4 linked regions of the Arabidopsis thaliana genome follow. The protein of the gene in region 1 purifies or fractionates together with the protein of each later gene. This does not show direct contact. Each region holds a gene or a part of one and is shown in the gene's direction. Other genes may lie near its edges.

The links.
Region 2: the proteins of APM1 (region 1) and AT4G17830 fractionate together in Arabidopsis thaliana (co-fractionation; one large-scale study listed by BioGRID). This does not show direct contact.
Region 3: the proteins of APM1 (region 1) and AT1G64190 fractionate together in Arabidopsis thaliana (co-fractionation; one large-scale study listed by BioGRID). This does not show direct contact.
Region 4: the proteins of APM1 (region 1) and AT5G17380 fractionate together in Arabidopsis thaliana (co-fractionation; one large-scale study listed by BioGRID). This does not show direct contact.

Annotation. Positions count from the first base shown.
Region 1 is NC_003075.7:15,965,080-15,972,217, reverse strand, and holds APM1 (aminopeptidase M1), read left to right. Parts: upstream 1-1,660; 5' UTR 1,661-1,799; coding exon 1,800-2,015; intron 2,016-2,335; coding exon 2,336-2,481; intron 2,482-2,566; coding exon 2,567-2,669; intron 2,670-2,783; coding exon 2,784-2,970; intron 2,971-3,048; coding exon 3,049-3,142; intron 3,143-3,243; coding exon 3,244-3,397; intron 3,398-3,487; coding exon 3,488-3,592; intron 3,593-3,674; coding exon 3,675-3,791; intron 3,792-3,907; coding exon 3,908-4,021; intron 4,022-4,161; coding exon 4,162-4,344; intron 4,345-4,438; coding exon 4,439-4,742; intron 4,743-4,826; coding exon 4,827-4,948; intron 4,949-5,031; coding exon 5,032-5,129; intron 5,130-5,225; coding exon 5,226-5,403; intron 5,404-5,492; coding exon 5,493-5,607; intron 5,608-5,701; coding exon 5,702-5,769; intron 5,770-5,871; coding exon 5,872-6,027; intron 6,028-6,123; coding exon 6,124-6,303; 3' UTR 6,304-6,625; downstream 6,626-7,138. Other genes in the region: AT4G33100 (protein phosphatase), read right to left, coding at 92-176, 423-517. UniProt on the Arabidopsis thaliana protein: Metallopeptidase that binds to the auxin transport inhibitor N-1-naphthylphthalamic acid (NPA). Required for embryonic and seedling development as well as cell cycle progression. Homodimerization is required to proper localization and activity.
Region 2 is NC_003075.7:9,913,935-9,918,726, forward strand, and holds AT4G17830 (Peptidase M20/M25/M40 family protein), read left to right. Parts: upstream 1-1,878; 5' UTR 1,879-1,981; coding exon 1,982-2,317; intron 2,318-2,522; coding exon 2,523-2,782; intron 2,783-2,858; coding exon 2,859-2,967; intron 2,968-3,043; coding exon 3,044-3,182; intron 3,183-3,264; coding exon 3,265-3,340; intron 3,341-3,420; coding exon 3,421-3,543; intron 3,544-3,633; coding exon 3,634-3,787; intron 3,788-3,893; coding exon 3,894-3,927; intron 3,928-4,008; coding exon 4,009-4,115; 3' UTR 4,116-4,253; downstream 4,254-4,792. Other genes in the region: AT4G17840 (CAAX protease self-immunity protein), read right to left, coding at 4,288-4,437, 4,519-4,607, 4,687-4,758.
Region 3 is NC_003070.9:23,824,772-23,828,879, reverse strand, and holds AT1G64190 (6-phosphogluconate dehydrogenase family protein), read left to right. Parts: upstream 1-1,743; 5' UTR 1,744-1,867; coding exon 1,868-3,331; 3' UTR 3,332-3,552; downstream 3,553-4,108. Other genes in the region: VHA-E3 (vacuolar H+-ATPase subunit E), read left to right, coding at 49-187; AT1G64195 (Defensin-like (DEFL) family protein), read left to right, coding at 832-890, 1,010-1,169; AT1G64185 (Lactoylglutathione lyase / glyoxalase I family protein), read right to left, coding at 3,728-3,784, 3,879-4,014. UniProt on the Arabidopsis thaliana protein: Catalyzes the oxidative decarboxylation of 6-phosphogluconate to ribulose 5-phosphate and CO(2), with concomitant reduction of NADP to NADPH.
Region 4 is NC_003076.8:5,724,247-5,728,914, reverse strand, and holds AT5G17380 (Thiamine pyrophosphate dependent pyruvate decarboxylase family protein), read left to right. Parts: upstream 1-2,002; 5' UTR 2,003-2,194; coding exon 2,195-3,598; intron 3,599-3,680; coding exon 3,681-3,995; 3' UTR 3,996-4,156; downstream 4,157-4,668. Other genes in the region: AT5G17390 (Adenine nucleotide alpha hydrolases-like superfamily protein), read right to left, coding at 227-523, 629-714, 801-1,275; AT5G17370 (Transducin/WD40 repeat-like superfamily protein), read left to right, coding at 4,196-4,262, 4,362-4,486, 4,627-4,668. UniProt on the Arabidopsis thaliana protein: Catalyzes a carbon-carbon cleavage reaction; cleaves a 2-hydroxy-3-methylacyl-CoA into formyl-CoA and a 2-methyl-branched fatty aldehyde.

The DNA of each region.
Region 1 (7,138 bases):
TCAAAACTCAGGAACGAGAAGCTTATCATTTGATTAAAGATCACAGGAAACATGAATAGAGCTGATGAAGCAGAGAAGCAGAGTGAGTTACCGAGAGACAGTCTCTGTATTTTTTCCACTCGGCAACACACTCTTCTTTATCCCATTGGCCTTTAACAAACTTCTCCGAGTACCATCTGCAGAAAAAAATCAAGAAAAAAAGATGCAATTTTTAGCGTTTTGGACAGACAGATAAATACACCAACCAAAGGGAAGAATTAGAAAGGAAAAAGGAATAAGACAATGCCATCCAAATGGTCCAAACCTTTCAAAAGACCAGAAATGAAATCCCTGAAAAAAATACCCATTTGGCTAACCAAAGCTAAACCCTTAAACCCAGCAACTAGCTAAATCCATCAAAAGGAGAAACAAACGAAACTCACTTGTTGAAGCAATTGTGGTAAGCGTTTCGCAAATCGGCGCAGGGAGAAGTAGAGGAGCGAGCTGAAGTTGAATCTTTTTTCTTCAATAAGCCCATTGTCGTTGCAATCACCACTAATACTCTGTCCCACCTTAGCAACTCTGAAAATCCATCTATCTATAATTCAGAAAAAAAAAAAACCTATATCATCACTCTTAAGAAAAGGATAAAAATGTAAACAGTGAGACAATAAGAATCTAACACAACAACAAGCTTCAGAATTCATCACAAACAGAGAAATATAATCCAAGATGACCAAAAGACAACTAAAAGATTCATTTTTGATACTCTAAAAATATAAATGAACATAACCAAAGTTGCAGAAAGAATCAAATAGAGAGATTGTATCAAAAATGAAACTCAGACAATGCAAAGTTTTAAGAAGTATGAAGCTTTTCAAGGATAATAGAATTTCAATACCCAAAAAAAAAAGAAAAAAAATCAGATCTCAGAAGGAAAAAGAATTGAAATTTACCCTGAATTTGATTAAAACGGGATATCCCGTAAAACCTCAGATTCTCCGAGATTGAGAGTCTCTCGTCTAACTCAGAAACCGTAAATTTAAACACCCGACCTAGACGACGACGACGACGAAGCTTGGGAAGAACTCGATTGGAAAGATCCTAACGACGTCGTTTCAGAAGACGAAAACCCTAGGCAAGAAAGAAAACTAAATTAGTCTCGTTGACCAAAAAAAGAAAGAGAGGAAATTAACATTAAAAAAGAGAAACTATACAATTCAAAATTTTAAAGTCTTATTATGATGATATAAATAAGGGAATAAAGATCATCTTCATCTCACTGTTAAGTATAATGGCCGAGCTCCAAGGGACAGAGGCTACAACCTGATGAAGCTACGTGGAACATGGCGGATGCTCCTCGAGAAACGGACACGCCGAGCCAAGAAGATCACCCTGGTCATCAGTACAACATGGGACTCAGGGGATGTTGGGAATCTGATCAAGGAGATGATTGAGGATATAGAACGATTAAATGTGTGTTGTTCAAACTAGATCCGCGGGACTTTGAGTTGACGAGTAGTAGTGACATTGAATCTTCTTATGAACAAGTGTAATCTGATTAAACATTTCTTCACTGGTCAAAACACATTTTGTCATATTCGGCCTAGCTTGGAGATGCTAATGGATAATCCAACGTCATTGAATTTGATAGTGATATTATTGAATGTTTTGTAAATGTTATTAACGTTGCGTCCTCTACTAGAAACGAATCACTCGCGTGGCGTAACATAAAACAATTGCTTACAACCCTCGTATTATAAAAGACAAAACTCCAACAAGAGAAAACAAAAAAAAATCATATCTGCAAGTAATAGAAAATGGATCAGTTCAAAGGTGAGCCTCGTCTACCCAAGTTCGCCGTCCCCAAGCGCTACGATCTCCGCCTCAATCCCGATCTCATCGCCTGCACCTTCACTGGAACTGTAGCCATCGATCTCGACATAGTCGCCGATACTCGTTTCATCGTTCTCAACGCAGCTGATCTCTCCGTCAACGATGCCTCCGTTTCCTTCACTCCTCCTTCCTCCTCTAAGGTCTCTCTATCGCGTTTCTTTTTTGCTGTTATGGATTCCGATTTTAGCAATGTGATTGGAGTTATGGTTTTGAGCTAATTAGCGCCTTGGAGATATTCATTTTCATGATTAGCTTCTTGATCTGAGTATTTGGATATCATCATCTATGATTTTTGATTCCAATGGTAAATTAACTAGAGAGATACAATCACGTTTCAGCCAGACTTTTCTGTTCGACTGAAAAACCAATCCTCAACTTTAGAAAACTGTCATGGATTGGAATTGAATCTGGAATCAGCAAAGATTTAGCTTGTTGTTGCTTCTTATGTTTTGTTAAGCAGGCGCTTGCAGCTCCAAAAGTTGTCTTGTTTGAGGAGGATGAGATTCTCGTGCTTGAGTTTGGTGAGATTCTTCCCCATGGAGTGGGAGTTCTGAAACTTGGTTTCAATGGAGTACTAAATGACAAAATGAAGGGATTCTACAGAAGGTAAAGCAATGAGTTTCGATCTTTTTTTACTGTTAGATAGCTCGAGATTAATTCTAGAACGATCTTGTATTTGTCTTGGTGGCAGTACTTATGAACATAACGGTGAGAAGAAGAATATGGCAGTTACCCAGTTTGAACCAGCTGATGCTAGGAGATGCTTTCCATGTTGGGATGAACCTGCTTGCAAGGTTTCCACTTGTTCTTTCTCATTCCCTCCTCTTTCTATCAGCATGAGTTTATCAAGTTGGTGATTTTGTTCTTCTTCTGTCTTTATCTATCAATATTGACACATTGTTCAACAGGCTACCTTCAAGATTACATTAGAGGTGCCAACTGATTTGGTGGCTCTCTCCAATATGCCAATAATGGAGGAGAAAGTCAATGGGAATCTGAAGATTGTCTCCTATCAAGAGTCACCAATCATGTCTACATATTTGGTAGCAATTGTTGTTGGTTTGTTTGACTACGTGGAAGATCATACATCCGATGGTAAATTAATTTTATCCATTATTATCTCCCGTCTAGTCAAGTCGAGAAGCTCTAAATCAAGTTTCATCTTTTTCTCAGGGATTAAAGTCAGAGTATACTGTCAAGTGGGCAAAGCCGACCAAGGGAAATTTGCATTGCATGTTGGTGCCAAGACATTGGATCTGTTCAAAGAGTAGGTCCTTCGTTGACATTTGAAACTTTATGTGCATGCATATTTCTGAGCTTCTTTAATGGATGTATCATCTCATTGCATAAGTCCAATCATTCTTGTAGGTACTTTGCTGTGCCATATCCCCTTCCCAAAATGGATATGATTGCAATACCAGATTTTGCTGCCGGAGCTATGGAGAATTATGGTTTAGTTACATACCGTGAAACAGCTCTTCTCTATGATGAACAACATTCAGCTGCTTCTAACAAACAGAGGGTACTGTAAACATGTCCATTTATTCTCTAGAGGAAATTGTCTTGTGCTCTCTTGTGCAATTATCTAAAGCAGTTAAATTTCTGCTGCTAGGTTGCCACTGTAGTTGCTCATGAACTGGCCCACCAGTGGTTTGGCAATCTTGTTACTATGGAGTGGTGGACTCATCTATGGCTGAATGAGGGTTTTGCTACTTGGGTACATTGCAAACTTAGGTCTTAGTATTAACAATGATTTTGAGTTTTGTTGTGAATATATTGTTACTCTTTATCTGTTTCAGGTCAGCTACTTGGCTACTGATAGTTTGTTCCCTGAATGGAAAATCTGGACCCAGTTTTTAGATGAATCTACTGAGGGTCTAAGGCTAGATGGGCTTGAGGAGTCTCACCCGATAGAGGTAACCAAAATGCTGTCAATATGTCTTCACAGAATAATGTCGGTTTTCCTTAATTTCACTATCGATCCCAGAGATACCCTATTGCCTATTTGTCATAAGTCCATAAATTTCCCCAGGTGGAGGTTAATCATGCTGCTGAAATTGATGAAATATTTGATGCAATAAGCTACAGAAAGGGTGCATCTGTCATCCGCATGCTACAAAGCTATCTTGGTGCTGAGGTTTTTCAGGTTCGCTCTCATGCCCATTTCTTCAGTTACAAAAGAATTGCAGCGTTTATATTATGCATGTAAATATGGTGGCTTCTAGTTCCAGTTTCACTAATGTCTCCAAAACATCTTACCCTACTTGTTTGGCTTTTGGTGAGCAGAAGTCTCTTGCTGCATACATTAAAAATCACGCTTATTCAAACGCGAAGACAGAAGATTTATGGGCTGCTTTGGAAGCGGGATCCGGAGAACCTGTGAACAAGCTTATGAGTTCTTGGACAAAGCAAAAAGGATATCCTGTCGTCTCAGCCAAAATAAAAGATGGAAAATTGGAACTCGAGCAGGTACTTAGACTTATTTCCCTTTCTGGATGTTCTGTTTATACCACTTTGGGATATTGTGCATGATTAAGTAACGAAATTCATTTGAAATTTTCAGTCTCGATTCTTGTCAAGTGGTTCTCCTGGGGAAGGACAATGGATTGTACCAGTGACCTTGTGTTGTGGTTCATATGAAAAGCGCAAAAACTTCTTATTAGAATCCAAATCTGGAGCGTATGATTTAAAGGAATTATTGGGCTGCTCCATTGCCGATGGTAGCGACAAAATTAATGGGACATGTTCTTGGATAAAAATCAATGTTGATCAGGCTGGATTCTATAGGGTGAAATATGATGACAGCCTTGCGGCTGGACTCAGAAATGCAACAGAGAGCCAAAGCTTGACTTCTATCGATAGATATGGTAATTCAACCTTGCAGAATTTTGTTTTCTGGTTGACAGAATGAAATTTCTTTGGAGATAGATATCCTACTTTGTATTTCACAGGTATTTTGGATGATTCGTTTGCACTTACTATGGCTCGTCAGCAATCACTGGCCTCATTGCTCACTTTGTGTAGTGCTTACAAGAAGGAACTTGACTATACTGTGCTGTCAAATCTTATTGCTGTAAGGATCTCCCCTTTCTGTCTTTAAATTCCCTGGTCCATAAGTTTGCTTTTGCTTCTGGCTCTTACTCTTCTTCCATACAGATAAGCTACAAAGTTGTGAAGATTGGAGCAGATGCAAATCAAGAACTGATGTCTGGGATTAAACATTTCTTCATTGGCGTTTTCCAGTTTGCTGCTGGGTAAGCTGTTTTACGCATCTCCAGAATTTAGACTAATGTTCTGTTTTACTAAACAAAAAAAAAACAATGTCGTTACAATGCTGATTGTTCTTACAGGAAACTTGGTTGGGATCCTAAGCAAGGCGAGAGCCATCTAGATGCTATGCTGAGAGGGGAAGTCTTAACTGCACTTGCTGTGTTTGGGCATGATGAGACACTAAAGGAAGCAGTTCGAAGATTTGATGCATTTTTGGCTGATAGGAACACTCCGCTTCTGCCTCCTGACATTAGAAGGGTTTGTTTCTTTTCATAGAACCCGATAACACTTTGAAACTGGAATGGTGAACCTTTTTATTAATTTCTGTATGGGTTTTGTGTTTGCAGGCTGCTTATGTTGCTGTAATGCAGAGAGCTAACAAATCAGACAAATCTGGTTATGAGTCTCTTCTGAGAGTTTATAGGGAAACCGACCTGAGCCAAGAGAAAACACGAATCTTAGGTAACTTGACTGCAAACTTTGGTCTCGTACCTGAAAAATAAAATAAATAAAAATTTGTGGTTCAAGTAGTAATGTTTCCTTTGTGACTTTGCAGGTTCTTTAGCATCTTGCCCAGACCCCACTATAGTTCAAGATGTTCTTAACTTCGTATTGTCTGATGAGGTAGATTATATGGATTTTGCTTTCCACTCTGTAGAGTTAGTAAATAATCAATATCATTGCGCTTGAAAAAATTGATGTGATGTGAGGTTCTTATTCTTCCAGGTCCGTAATCAAGATGCACTTTATGGACTTTCCGGTGTAAGTTGGGAAGGACGTGAAGTAGCTTGGAAATGGCTACAGGAAAAGTGGGAGTATATAGGAAACACATGGGGCTCCGGATTTCTCATAACACGCTTCATAAGTGCAGTTGTATCGCCGGTTTGTTCCTCCTCCCCTTTATGCATATCCATAAAATAGCTATTGATCCTCTCGCTGGCCTTTCCCATTGATTACACTTTATGTTGATTGTCTCAGTTTGCGTCGTTTGAGAAAGCCAAAGAAGTGGAGGAGTTTTTTGCAACAAGATCAAAGCCTTCGATGGCAAGAACCTTGAAGCAGAGCATTGAAAGGGTACATATCAATGCCAATTGGGTGGAGAGTATCAAGAAGGAAGATAATCTCACGCAGCTCGTTGCTCAGCTCTCTTCAAACTAAAAGAACTCCGCTACTCGAGAATTAACTAATCATCTGTGACTCGTGATGCTCATGTTTTCTATAAGCCAAAAACATCTGTTGTTTCTTCTTCTCAACACCGAATTTTAAAAGCACTTTTCGAACTTTTGGATTTGCCATCAATAAAGTTTGCCTTTCGAGGTCCGTTCCGACTCCGACTCGTGGACTACTAACGTGGGATACCTTCATTGTATAGTGGATCATAAAAGTCTAGAACTTAACTGTAGTTGATAACTATTCGTGAGTAATTAAAAATACACACAATCTGATACAGTGACTTATTTAAAAGAATTCATTTCCTTTGCAACTCCTTGAGGAAATAGCTTAGAAAGGTTTTACGAAGATCTTCTCCGCAAAAGCTCGGGAAGGCGTGGAATCTCCAGTTTCGAGATAACGAAGAAGAAGTAGAATCCATGAACAGACTTTCCTTTTTTTGTTGTGGTCAGTCAATTTTCCATTTAAATGGGTTTAGTGGGGAAAACGCTAGTGATTTTTTTATACGGTGAGATACTATATTATAATGGGCCATAACTAAGTAGAAAGGAAGGCCCATTATAGCTGAAGCGATAAGATAAGTCCCACATCGGTTATACAGTAGAAAGAGGAAGAACATATATATAGTTAGAGTTGCTAAGATGATTGTCCCTTCGTGGACATCCGATAAAATTGGAACGATACAGAGAAGATTAGCATGTGCCCTGCGCAAGGATGACACGCTTAAATCGAGATATGATCCAAATTTATAATGCAAACATTTTTCGGATCGATTAAACACAGTTTCTTGTGTCACAGTTTTTTTGTACTTGTTTAATTAGTG
Region 2 (4,792 bases), 6.1 Mb from region 1:
AGATAAAGGGTTCTTTATATAGGAGTACAAGGAAAGGGTAAAACCCTAGAAACATCTCGATGATGGGCTTAGATAATGGGCCTTATAATGGGCATCCTCTTGATTCATAACAATATGTTGTTTCTTCTAGTTTTGGTCCCCGCTTCCTCACCATCTCTAGCTAGCATCATACATTTTCTTTATTTTATAATATATATTTTCGACATAGCATGTAGATTTTCTATTTATCTTTTTTAAAATTTACACCAATCATTGATAGTATATGTATTGTAAAATAAAAATAAAAATAAAAATATCTACAACGCATGGTCATATTCAAACTTAATTCTAATATTTACCCAAATGATTTTCTTTTCTAGCGGTTGAATTAACTTAGAAAAAGAACAATCTTCACTTAGAGATCCCAGTGACGATTTGGACGCTTAATTATTAGGGTTATCGACTCTTATTAAGGTTCTTCTAAAGAAAGAAAATGTAATACTTTGAAGATGAAGCAAGACAAACCGAAGAAGACAGCAGATATATATATATATATATATATACCGACCAAGATTCGTGTACGTAAAAGCACAACTGAGATATGAATTTGTTGGCATGCAAATAAATTACAGATGTTTGATGCTAAGACCAAATGAAATTAAAAAGGGATTTAGGGATTTTGTATCTGTGAGAGGAACAGTCCATTGAATCAGTGAGATAGGATACTTTAATTATACTGTCTTCTTCTGCTCAGCATGGTTCGAATCCCCATATCAATCATCCATTGTCTCTTTCACCTTTGTTTTCATAAATGGCAAAAACTTTGGTTGCAATTTGCGACAAAGGATGACGTATTCGGCGCCATTTAAAGTTGGAGTTTTAAAAGTAAAAACTATTACTATATCATGTGAAAATATAATTAGATTGTGAAGTATAATTTTTAGAATTCTGTCGTTTACCTCTTAGCATTGTTATTTGATTAGACTAAACTAATAATTCAATTAAATAACAAATCTAATTTTTTCATAGTCGAATTTCATTAGTTAATCGTTTAGTTGTTTCTCTCGTGGATCTTCACATCATCACATGTGCCAAGAAGTTAATATTAATATATAGTCATTTTCCGAGAAGAGTCTATTTGGGTTGTTTGAGTAAAGCGTGGATATCTTTTTCCAAAGACCTTTTGAGAACTTATCAACCACAATCCCTTATATATGGTTGAAGCTGTGATCACTTGTATTACAATTATATTAACAACTCAATCGGCATTAACACAATTGCTTTCGATTGGATCTATCAGAAATCGGCATTAACACAATTACATTATATATCACGCTAGGTCTGATCAGCTCCATGTCAATCTCGTTGTTTGTGTGCTCTCGGTTTAGTTATGTGACTAAGAAGATGAACCGACTTGGATAATTGATTGCCTGGTTGCAATATTTTCGAAAGTGATAGGATATCAACTGTTTCTTTTCAATCCATAACTTACATACTTAATGATATAACCACATATATATAGAATCGTGTGGCTGTCCCGAAACACGTGACCATACCATATCGTATTCGAATGCACCTACTTATCAACTATTTGAACTGATGTGGATTTAAGAATTGGTCATATATTATCCTCCATGCTTCATAGGGTAATATCCAGAGCGATGTTGCAACAGATCCTTACTTGATGCGTGGCCAATTGATGTTGCTTGTGTGAGTTGCCATAGATCCTAAAGCCAAGGAATACATTTTGGAATCCATAGAAGACATGAACAACATTAAGCAAAGCCTTCTGTAGATTTTTAATTCTTTTTCGTTGTTGAGGATAGTGATATGTACATTAATTAATTTGGTTCCGTATAATTTTTTAATTAATTAGCGTAACACTCCACCCGAAAAGGTCCAAAACCTTAAACAACACACGAAGCTCGTAGACAAGCTGACCAAAACCTTATTAGTTTTGTTTGCAAACCCCAAAAGAAAAAACATCTTTGGTGTAACAAAAATGGCTTCGTCTTCCAAAGCACTGATCGAATCCATAGGCTCTCTTGACAAAGACTCATACGTTTCTCTCTTATCAAAACTCATAGGCGAATCTAAATTCGTCCAGAACAATCCGCCGGAGCTCATCCCTCAAGAGGACCTAATCGTCAAACACGTCCTTGACTCTCTCCGTCCTTATAGCACAGAAACTGGTGGTGGTCCTCTGGTGATCAATCATGTCGCGTATCATTCAGGTAGAGGTAATCTCATCGTTGAGTACCCAGGATCTGTTCCCGGAAAGATCTTGTCTTTCGTCGGAATGCATATGGACGTCGTCACTGCGAATCCTGATGATTGGGTAATTTTGATTGATTCTAAATATGTGATTTTGATCGGTGCCCATTAGAATTAGCTTAAAATCTGATACTGGGTTCTGTTTAATTTCCGATGAACTGATCTGAATTGTTCCAAATTTCAAAGCTTTCTCTGTTTTGTGTACTCTAGGGTTTAATCGGTTACATTGAATTTTGGATTCTCTGGTTGACTTCGGTTTTTGTTCATAGGAATTTGATCCTTTCTCGCTAAGCATAGATGGTGATAAGCTTCGTGGTCGTGGGACAACAGATTGTCTTGGTCACGTTGCTCTTGTCACTGAACTCATGAAGAAACTCGGGCAAGCCAAACCGGCGTTGAAATCAACGGTGGTGGCGGTTTTCATCGCTAGCGAAGAGAACTCTTCCATTCCTGGTGTTGGTGTGGACATGCTGGTGAAAGACAAACTTCTTGATAAGCTCAAATCCGGACCCTTGTTAGTTTCCATTCTGTTAGAAATTTCTTGGGGAGTTTTTAGATGAAAATTGAAGGATGATTGAAGCTTATTGATGTGTATTCTTTTGAAGGTATTGGATTGATACAGCGGATAAGCAGCCGTGTGTTGGAACTGGGGGTATGATACCATGGAAGCTTCAGTTTACTGGAAAGCTTTTCCATAGCGGTTTAGCTCACAAGGTATTTTATATATGAATGGATTACTCTAGATGAAGTTGCAAACTTGGCATTGATCTTTTCTTCTGTTTGTACGAAGGCGATTAACGCGATGGAGTTAGCAATGGAAGGGCTTAAGGAAATCCAAGCTCGGTTCTACAGAGACTTTCCGCCTCACCCACAAGAGGAAGTTTATGGTTTTGCAACACCATCCACCATGAAGCCAACACAGTGGTGTTGTAAGTTTTGGAATCTATAGCATGTTGTGTGCCTAATGACTTTACATGTTGTCTACTTACAATAAATTGTTTGGTTTTGCAGATCCAGCAGGTGGAATCAACCAAATCCCCGGAGAATGTACTGTTTCGGGTGATGTCAGGTTGACTCCTTTCTATGAGTAAGTCTCTTCACACTTGTCTTACTCGTTTCTTCAATGCATTTAGACACACTTTAATGGCTTTTTGGTTGTTTTTGCAGCGTGAAGGAAGTGATAACGAAGTTGCAAGAGTATGTTGACGACATAAACGGTAACATAGAGAGGCTCGAAACCCGTGGTCCTGTTTCAAAATATGTCTTACCAGATGAGAATTTACGGGGAAGGTTTGGACTTTCTTCTTCTCCTGATTCTATTCTTTCTCTCATTTTATTGTCCCTACCGAAATCTTAAAAAGTCTTAATTGTCACTTGCAGGCTCACGTTAAGTTTTGATGAAGCATCAGCTGGAGTTGCGTGTAATCTTGATTCTCCCGGCTTTCACGTTCTATGCAAAGCAACCGAAGAAGTTGTTGGACACGTGAAGCCTTACTCGATCACCGGTACTTTACCTCTAATCCGAGACCTCCAGGTAAACCATTTGATAAACCGTACTTTAACTAGACTCAAGACTGATCTTTCAGAGTTCTCTACAACTTACTCTTTCTAAACCAATGAATCATGCTCTTGGTTTGTAGGATGAAGGTTTTGATGTGCAAACTTCAGGATACGGTATTACAAAACCCAACTCGGATTCTCTCCTTTGCTGAATTTCCTCATCTTTGATCCTTATCTATTTTAATTTTGTTGCAGGTCTCATGGCTACATATCATGCAAAGAACGAATACTGCCTTCTTACAGACATGTGCCAAGGCTTTGATGTCTTCATCAGGATCATTTCTCAACTTGAACAAGTATAAAATCAGATGGAAGATCATAAAATAAAAGCTTCACATAGCTACTCTCTTATTAACTAAATGGTTCTATACATTTACTTTGCTTCTATCTATTTGTACAAGTCAATGGTGGCTCAATACTTCAGACACTTTACAAAATTTAAAACAAAGGATAATGTTTTATACAGTTATTTATCTATCTTGAGTTGTTGTCACCTTCAGTTTCAAGTTTCTGAACACGTAGCCGGAGTCTTTGCTGATGATGGTGTAGTTTCCAGAGACCATTACCCAATACAACGGCTGAGTATATACCATGTGTGATGATAGGAGCAAGAAGATTGTTTGTCTGCAATATTTTCAGTTTGGTATCAACGATTTTACTACGACATGTCGAAAAAAGAAATGCGTGAACAGAAGAAGTAAAAACCTGAATCCATTCAAAGCCGAGGTATAGACCCAAAAGCCCTTCAAGAAGAGGAGAGTAGATTTTCTTCATCTGTCTTCGCTCATACCACGCTGCAAAAAGGAACATAGAATCCTTAGTGTGTGATAGTGAACATATCTAAATCCTTATGCTAAACTGAGTTTTACGAACCTGCAAACAACTTCTTCAGCTCGTCTCGGGCAGAGCGAGTTTTCAAGACCGGTGCCATTATATAAGTTGGATCTAAGAGAAATAACAAAACAAAATCAGCTATGAG
Region 3 (4,108 bases), on another chromosome or scaffold:
AGAATCAAAAACTCTAATACCAATATGGCACTTGTGGATATATAACAGTGCAGGAGGAGTGGTTTTGGCTTCTCGTGATGGGAAAATCGTGTGTGAAAACACGCTTGATGCGAGGTTGGAGGTTGCCTTCCGCAATAAACTTCCAGAGGTTAAATTAAAATCCCCATTTGCTCTCTTAAATTTGTAGTACCATGTTCCTAAGCTTATACCTTCTTATTGGTTTCAAAACTCTTGAAACCTCATTTGTCTTGTCCTAAGTATTTTTAGTTTTGTTCTAAAGGATCTTTTCTTGAAATGTGTGTAGATCCGAAAGTCGCTCTTCGGCAAGGTTGGTGCAGCTTGATGAGTGACTCCAACTTTATAACCAAGGAAAGTTTGTGGCTCCATTTATCCATTTCTTTCTATTGTCACCATTTTTTCTAAATTATGTGTAATTTGTTGATGGGCATTGGTCTTTTGTTGTTAATTGATATAAATATTTGTTTGGTTTGGTGGTGTATTGATAATGATAAGAGTAAGTTGCTCATCATCTTGTCAACTTTTTATCCTAACTTTGTCACACTTTTTGTTACCTAAGATTTAGAACTTCTCCTTCGTGACACATGGTTGATTACAAGAAAGAAAGCGTCACAGGATGGTCAAAGTCTCATCCTTCTTCGTCAAATTCACATACTTTTTTTTAGATATACATAGCCATATTTATTTTTAGCTGTATATGCCTAATTGCCTATTTATTTAGATGGGTTCAAAGTCTCCTCCTTCTTGGCTAAATTCACACACTGTTATAGTGTTATTTGTTTGAAGGAACAAAAAAGAACTTCAATAAAGAAAATGGCGTCTAACAAAATCTCCTTCTCCTTTGTTCTTTGCCTATATATGTGCTCTCTATTGTTCATCATTACATTACACATCAAATAGACAATAGTTCATAGAAATCATTGTTTCTAATTTTCTTGGTTTAGTAAATGAACCCCTTAACTTTTTTTCTTATTAAAATTATAGAGTTAAGAGATGCAAAAAGTATGAATCCAACGGGAAGACGATGCCCAGATCCTAACGGTGTGGAGAAGAAAAGTATGTGTTACAGTTCCTGTAAGACACAAGGTTTTATGGGTGGTTCTTGTCAAGGCCACAAGGGTAATTACATGTGCGAGTGTTATGAAGGATAAACACCATCTCATTGATAAACTCTGTCTTGTTTAATTGATCCACTTAGTCTCCTATCATCATATAAGAAAGATACTTGGTTATCCAGTAGAATGGTGAGATCGTAGATGGAAAGTTGTCCGACCATTCAACATCGTCAAAAGGCTAATGTATCAAGTTGATGTAAAATAATTGAAAAACTTTTATAGAGACTAAAAAGAAGAGGTAGAGAGTCCAAGTTCGACATGGACACTACCATATTGATCGTATTAAAAAATGTTGTTACAACCAAAATATATATTAGATATGAAACATCATTAGAGATTAATAAATCAAACAGCCCACTAGTTGGATATTAAAAAAATTAAACGAATGTTATTGTATGAATTTTCGTAAGTCATTTGCATATAACGACAAGCAAATCCTTAAGCTATGATTAAATTTTTATGTTAGAGTGTGATTTGTAAACATTTTTAATTTAACAAAAACATTAGAATCATATTTGAAACAAAAACGGCAACGTTTGTTAACATGGAGTTCTAGACGAGACGACACCGTTTTGAAAAACATAGAGATCATCGTTTTCGTTTGTCCCTTGGCTCCATCGACGAGTCCGTCATTTTCACAGTATAAATATCTCCACCCACTCTCTCTCATCACTCCCACTACCTCATTTTTCTCTCTCTACCTAACCAATCCTAAGCTCATCTCTCTATCTCCAATGGAGTCCGCCGCACTATCCCGAATCGGTCTCGCCGGACTCGCCGTGATGGGCCAAAACCTCGCCTTAAACATCGCCGAGAAAGGTTTCCCAATCTCAGTCTACAATCGAACCACTTCCAAAGTCGACGAAACCCTAGATCGAGCCGCCGTCGAAGGAAACCTCCCAGTCTCCGGCCAATACTCTCCCCGCGATTTCGTCCTCTCGATCCAACGGCCTAGATCTCTCATCATCCTCGTCAAAGCTGGAGCTCCCGTTGACCAAACAATCGACGCCTTCTCCGAATACATGGAGCCAGGAGATTGCATCATCGACGGTGGAAACGAATGGTATCAGAACACAGAGCGACGGATCTCCGAAGCTGAGCAAAAAGGATTGCTCTATTTAGGTATGGGAGTCTCCGGCGGCGAAGAAGGAGCTCGTAACGGTCCTTCGTTAATGCCTGGTGGATCATTTCAAGCTTATGATAACATCAAAGATATTTTGGAGAAAGTCGCAGCTCAAGTTGAAGATGGACCTTGTGTTACTTACATCGGAGAAGGTGGATCTGGAAATTTCGTGAAGATGGTTCATAATGGGATTGAGTATGGAGATATGCAATTGATCTCTGAAGCTTATGATGTGTTGAAGAACGTTGGTGGATTAAGCAACGAGGAGCTTGCTGAGATTTTCACTGAGTGGAATTCAGGTGAGCTTGAGAGTTTCTTGGTTGAGATAACTTCTGATATATTTAGGGTTAAGGATGAGTTTGGTGATGGAGAGTTAGTTGATAAGATTTTGGATAAGACTGGTATGAAAGGTACTGGGAAATGGACGGTGCAGCAAGCGGCGGAGCTGTCTGTTGCAGCTCCGACGATTGCTGCTTCGTTGGATTGTAGGTATTTGAGTGGGTTGAAAGATGAGAGGGAGAATGCAGCGAAAGTGTTGAGGGAAGCTGGATTGAAAGAAGAGATTGGTTCTGCGTCGAGTGGAATCGATAAGAAGAGATTGGTTGATGATGTTAGGCAAGCTTTGTATGCTTCCAAGATTTGTAGTTATGCTCAAGGGATGAATTTGCTTAGAGCTAAGAGTTTAGAGAAGAGTTGGAACTTGAATTTTGGTGAATTGGCTAGGATTTGGAAAGGTGGTTGTATTATAAGAGCGGTTTTCTTGGATAGGATCAAGAAAGCTTACCAGAGGAACCCGGACTTGGCTAGTCTTGTGGTTGATCCTGAGTTTGCTAAAGAGATGGTTCAGAGACAAGCTGCTTGGAGAAGAGTTGTTGGTTTGGCTGTTTCTGCTGGGATTAGCACGCCTGGAATGTGTGCTAGTCTTGCGTATTTCGATACTTATAGACGTGCTAGATTGCCGGCGAATCTGGTTCAGGCGCAGAGAGATCTCTTTGGAGCTCACACTTATGAGAGAACCGATCGTCCTGGTGCGTACCATACTGAATGGACTAAGCTTGCCAGGAAGAACCATTGAAAAATCCCTTTCTGTTTTTGTAAAAGCCCTATTTGTCTTGCTTATTTTTGAGCAATTGGAAATGGGATTTCAAACCACATTGTTTAACACGAGTATTTTGTTCAGATTTCAGAATAAGAAATGCAGCAGCACCTTGATTTTTGTTTTTGTTTCTGAACATCTTTGCTTTTAAATTTGTAAAACATATCTCCCCTGTCTTTAATAGATCGAATGTCTAGACGATTAGTTGAACAATCAATTAACGACTTTTCTGCGCCGGATATATTAGATTTACATTTGTCTTAGAGCTAAGTCCTTACCAAACATCCGATTAGCAAAATTTTGAAACATTATTCAACCAAAATCGGATCGAAAAAAACAAAATCAAATCCACATAATCCGAACTGAATAGAAAACTCATGAAGGTTCATAGAGTCCGAGCACATGACCATCAAGACATCTCACAGAAGCAACCTGGTTATCAAGAAAAAGAAAGATTTGAATTCTTATCAAAAGAAATGTTAGACAATGAGATTAAAGCATTTGCAGGAAGTGGTTGCGTTTTTACCTTGCCATGGACTTCATATTTGATAGAGCCATCGAGTTCAGCTCCTAATTCCATAAGTTTAGAGATTGTTGTATTAATGTCTGCTACAGTGAACGATAGTAACGAAGAGTATCCTTTCTCACTCATCACATGCTCGCTGCATCAAAAACAATGATGGCTCTATAATTTAACACAGATTCTCTATAAGTTCCACATTTTCAATCAGACAGGACAGTGAACTGAAGACAACC
Region 4 (4,668 bases), on another chromosome or scaffold:
AATTAACAGAATCTCGGAATCATTAACCGATTGAACCAGCAGAAGATAGGGAAAATTGTTCATAGTTCTTGTGCAGTAACATTGTTATATCAATAATCCAAGAAAGGCCTATTTGATTTTTGTGTACTGGAGCAAGTTTGTTTCATGTATAAAAGATGAAATAGGTGAAAAAATTTTAAAGCCTTATGAATGATACAAACACAAAAGAGGAAAACTTGCGTTGTTGTCAAGCGAGAAGCCAGAAGTTTTTGTGGCGTTTGGTGGTGATTAAGTAACCGCCGAGCTTGCGGTTCTTGGGTTTAACCGCGATTGTCATGCAAGAGGCGTTTTCGAGGCAGTATTTGAGAACACCTTCGTGTCCACGGCGTCTCTTCCACGCCCATCTCTTCAATAGCCTCCAGACCGGAGGTTTCTTCTCTTGTCCAACCACTAAAAGGCTCACTTGTTGTTTCTTTGATTCTTCAACTATCTTCTGCCCTTTGTCTTTGTCTTTCCCCTCTAACCTCCTTATCTCCACTTCTATCTGACATTCATAAAAGAAATCCACACGTCGCCAGAATTTGATCAGAACAGTAATAGTGTAGCTTTCATTATATGTATAAACAATCGAATACCAAGTGTGACTCACCCCGGGTCGTTTCGTTTGGCACAGTTTCTTTAAAGTATGGACCAATTCATCGGTTTTCACCTCGCGTTTTCGGTTCTTCCTTTTACCTAAAACTCAATCCGAAAAACCTCATTAGCCAAACCAAACAAACCTTAAACAAGAAAATTGACAAAGAGGAGAGAAAGAGAAGAACTTTTTCTAAACGGTTTTGCAAAGTATAACAGAAAAAGAGTGTCTTGTGGTTGTAAAGTATGCGTAATAGCCCATTCTAAAGCTCCGGTAGAAGCAAGCGCTTTATCAACCACCACCATTACTCTATTCCCGCCTTCCGCCTCCTCCTCAACCGCCTCAACCGCTGCCACCGCCTCTTTTTTTCCTTCTCCGCCTCCAATGTTAAAGCTCTTGGCATCATCTTGTTCTTTTTCTTCTTCCTCCTCTACAATTACTTTGACTCTTTCTTCTTCCTTATCTTCAACCTCTTCACTTTCATTGTTTGCTTCTTTGGTGTCTTCTTCTCCGGATCCGGCATCATCACCATTTTCGCCTAGAAACTCGATTCTTTGGTCTCTCTCTATGGAACTCGAGTCCGGTTTGAACCTAATCGAAGGTGAATTGATCCGGACTCTTCTTAGACTCAACTTGGCTGATTTCTTGAGCGATCTCGCCATGTTTTTGTTTACAAAAAGAACTCAAATGGGAACCTTAGCATTGGTTCTTGAATGTTTTGAGCGTATGTATACGTGAGGAAATTTTTTGAGAGAGGACGTGCGTGCCATTAAAGATGTTTGATTGTTAATGGTTCCACACGTTGTTGTTTTTTTCTTTTTGTCAAGCTCTTCTGTTTTCTTCATTAAATTAAACGAGTCCAAGTTTATTTGATAAATTGTTAGCTCAATCGATTGTGGAATTCACTACCGTTGGAGAAAAAAAAATTTATTTTGTAGACTCGCAAAATCATGAGAAATCTTTGAGTGGTGCTCTAGTTTTGTCGTGGTCAAAATCATCCACTTTGTGTAAAAGAACAAATCCAAATTTGATTTGTTTTCTTTGCTAACTACAAAACAATTCTAGTGGCAGCCCTCAAGGGTTATACAAGGTCACTTGTTCCAAACCATGAACTCATAAATTTATCATTTTATCACATCCAAATCCAAATTATTGAGAAGATTAGGTAAGTAGGAGTCGCTAGTGACCAAAACCAAAGATATATTTTATTGAATCACTAAATCACAATACCTTTGTAAATTAAGTTATCTGTCATACTACTTTGTTATTGAATAATGTAAGTTGCCAAAAATAAAGAAATTCATGTATAGTTTGGTCGTATAATCAATTTGTTGAGAATTTTACTATTTGCTACGTAGATAACTTTTAAATTAGCAAAACACACATAATTACGTGTACAAGTTTGTAGATAAAATTTTCAGAGAACACACAAAATGCAAATAAAGAAGTCAATAATAGGCTAATAGTAGCATTAATGCAAAACACGTAATCACAGTAAGAGTAAAACACAAATACAAAAGGCTATATAAAGAAACTAAAGCAAGTAGAAGAAACTGAAACTTTGAGCAAATCCAAGAGAACATGGCGGATAAATCAGAAACCACTCCACCGTCAATTGATGGCAACGTTCTCGTGGCCAAGTCACTCTCTCATCTCGGCGTAACCCACATGTTCGGCGTCGTTGGAATCCCCGTCACGTCTCTAGCTAGCCGAGCTATGGCTTTAGGTATACGTTTCATCGCCTTCCACAACGAACAATCCGCTGGTTACGCCGCTTCAGCTTACGGTTACCTCACGGGTAAACCGGGTATCCTTTTAACGGTTTCGGGTCCGGGTTGTGTTCATGGGCTCGCGGGTCTTTCCAACGCTTGGGTTAATACATGGCCGATGGTGATGATCTCTGGTTCTTGTGATCAGAGAGATGTTGGTCGTGGAGATTTCCAGGAGCTTGATCAGATCGAAGCGGTTAAAGCTTTCTCGAAATTATCAGAGAAAGCGAAAGATGTTCGTGAAATCCCTGATTGTGTTTCTAGGGTTTTGGATCGAGCTGTTTCGGGTCGACCCGGTGGGTGTTATCTGGATATTCCGACTGATGTGTTGCGTCAGAAGATATCGGAATCGGAAGCTGATAAATTGGTGGATGAGGTTGAGAGATCACGGAAGGAAGAACCGATTCGTGGATCTCTGAGATCGGAGATTGAATCGGCGGTTTCGTTGCTGAGGAAAGCTGAGAGGCCGTTGATTGTGTTTGGTAAAGGAGCTGCGTATTCGAGAGCAGAAGATGAGCTGAAGAAGCTTGTTGAAATTACTGGAATACCCTTTTTACCAACTCCGATGGGTAAAGGTTTGTTACCGGACACACACGAGTTCTCGGCGACTGCGGCGAGGTCTCTTGCTATTGGGAAATGTGATGTCGCGTTGGTGGTTGGAGCTAGGCTTAACTGGCTTCTTCATTTCGGAGAGTCGCCTAAATGGGATAAAGATGTAAAATTTATATTGGTGGATGTCTCTGAGGAAGAGATTGAGCTAAGGAAACCTCATTTGGGGATTGTTGGAGATGCTAAAACTGTGATTGGATTGTTGAATAGAGAGATCAAAGACGATCCTTTTTGTTTAGGGAAGTCTAATTCATGGGTGGAATCGATTTCGAAGAAGGCGAAAGAGAATGGTGAGAAGATGGAGATACAGCTTGCTAAAGATGTGGTTCCTTTCAATTTCTTGACTCCTATGAGGATAATCAGAGACGCTATTTTGGCTGTGGAAGGACCGAGTCCTGTTGTGGTATCGGAAGGAGCTAATACAATGGATGTAGGAAGATCTGTTTTGGTTCAGAAAGAGCCAAGGACAAGGCTTGATGCAGGAACTTGGGGAACTATGGGTGTTGGTTTAGGTTATTGTATTGCTGCTGCTGTTGCTTCTCCTGATCGGCTTGTTGTCGCTGTTGAAGGAGACTCTGGTTTTGGCTTCAGCGCCATGGAAGTCGAGGTAGTAAAAAGATTTACATACTTATTAGCATAATGTGGAAATTGTCTTTTGTCTGAACTTTTGTCTTTAATGATGATTGCAGACATTGGTTCGATACAATCTTGCTGTGGTGATTATAGTCTTCAACAATGGTGGTGTCTACGGCGGTGATCGAAGGGGACCTGAAGAAATCTCCGGTCCTCATAAAGAAGATCCAGCACCAACATCATTTGTTCCTAATGCAGGCTACCACAAGCTCATTGAAGCCTTTGGAGGCAAAGGTTATATTGTGGAAACACCCGATGAGCTTAAATCCGCTCTCGCTGAGTCGTTCGCCGCAAGAAAACCCGCGGTGGTAAATGTTATTATTGATCCTTTTGCTGGTGCTGAGAGTGGGAGATTACAGCACAAGAACTAAAAAGCTTTGTGGAGAGTCCCTTTAAATAATGTTGAAGTTGTTTGTTGTGAACAAAAAGGATATACGTTTTAGTTTTCTGTTTTTCACTATTGTAAACCGGATCATAAACCGGTCCATTTTAAACCATAATTGAATAAAAACACGTTTCCGGTTCAATTCTTAAAACCTAAAGCTATTTATATGGCGCATGTTAGCCTTTAATGGTGTCTGATGAGAAAGAACACAGAGAACAGAGTCGACTCCAAGTCCGACACAACATGAAACCAGGTCTGAATCTTCTTCCTCGACGGATTCTTCTATTTTCGATTGCGTATCCGAGATTTTGATGTGGGAATTTGGTTTATCTTTGATTTTTTTTTTTTTCAGAACTTCCTGGGTTTTATTACGACGAGGAGAAGAACAGATATTTTCCCATTAAAGGTCCTATCCCTGGTGCAAAGTCTTCTTCTTCTTCAAGAACGAAACAAAAACCCGAGCCAAAGCCTGAACAGGTCAGTTTACTACAAATTCAACTTTTTCAAGTTTATGTAGTAAAGGTCGAGTCTTGCAGAATCAATGAGAATTCTCCAATCTTCTCTAGCTTGAACTTGTTTATGTAAATCAGTGATTAGTTATATGGAAATTGCATCAGGAAACTAATTATCAGAAGAGGACTAAACTAAAAGCATTGAAG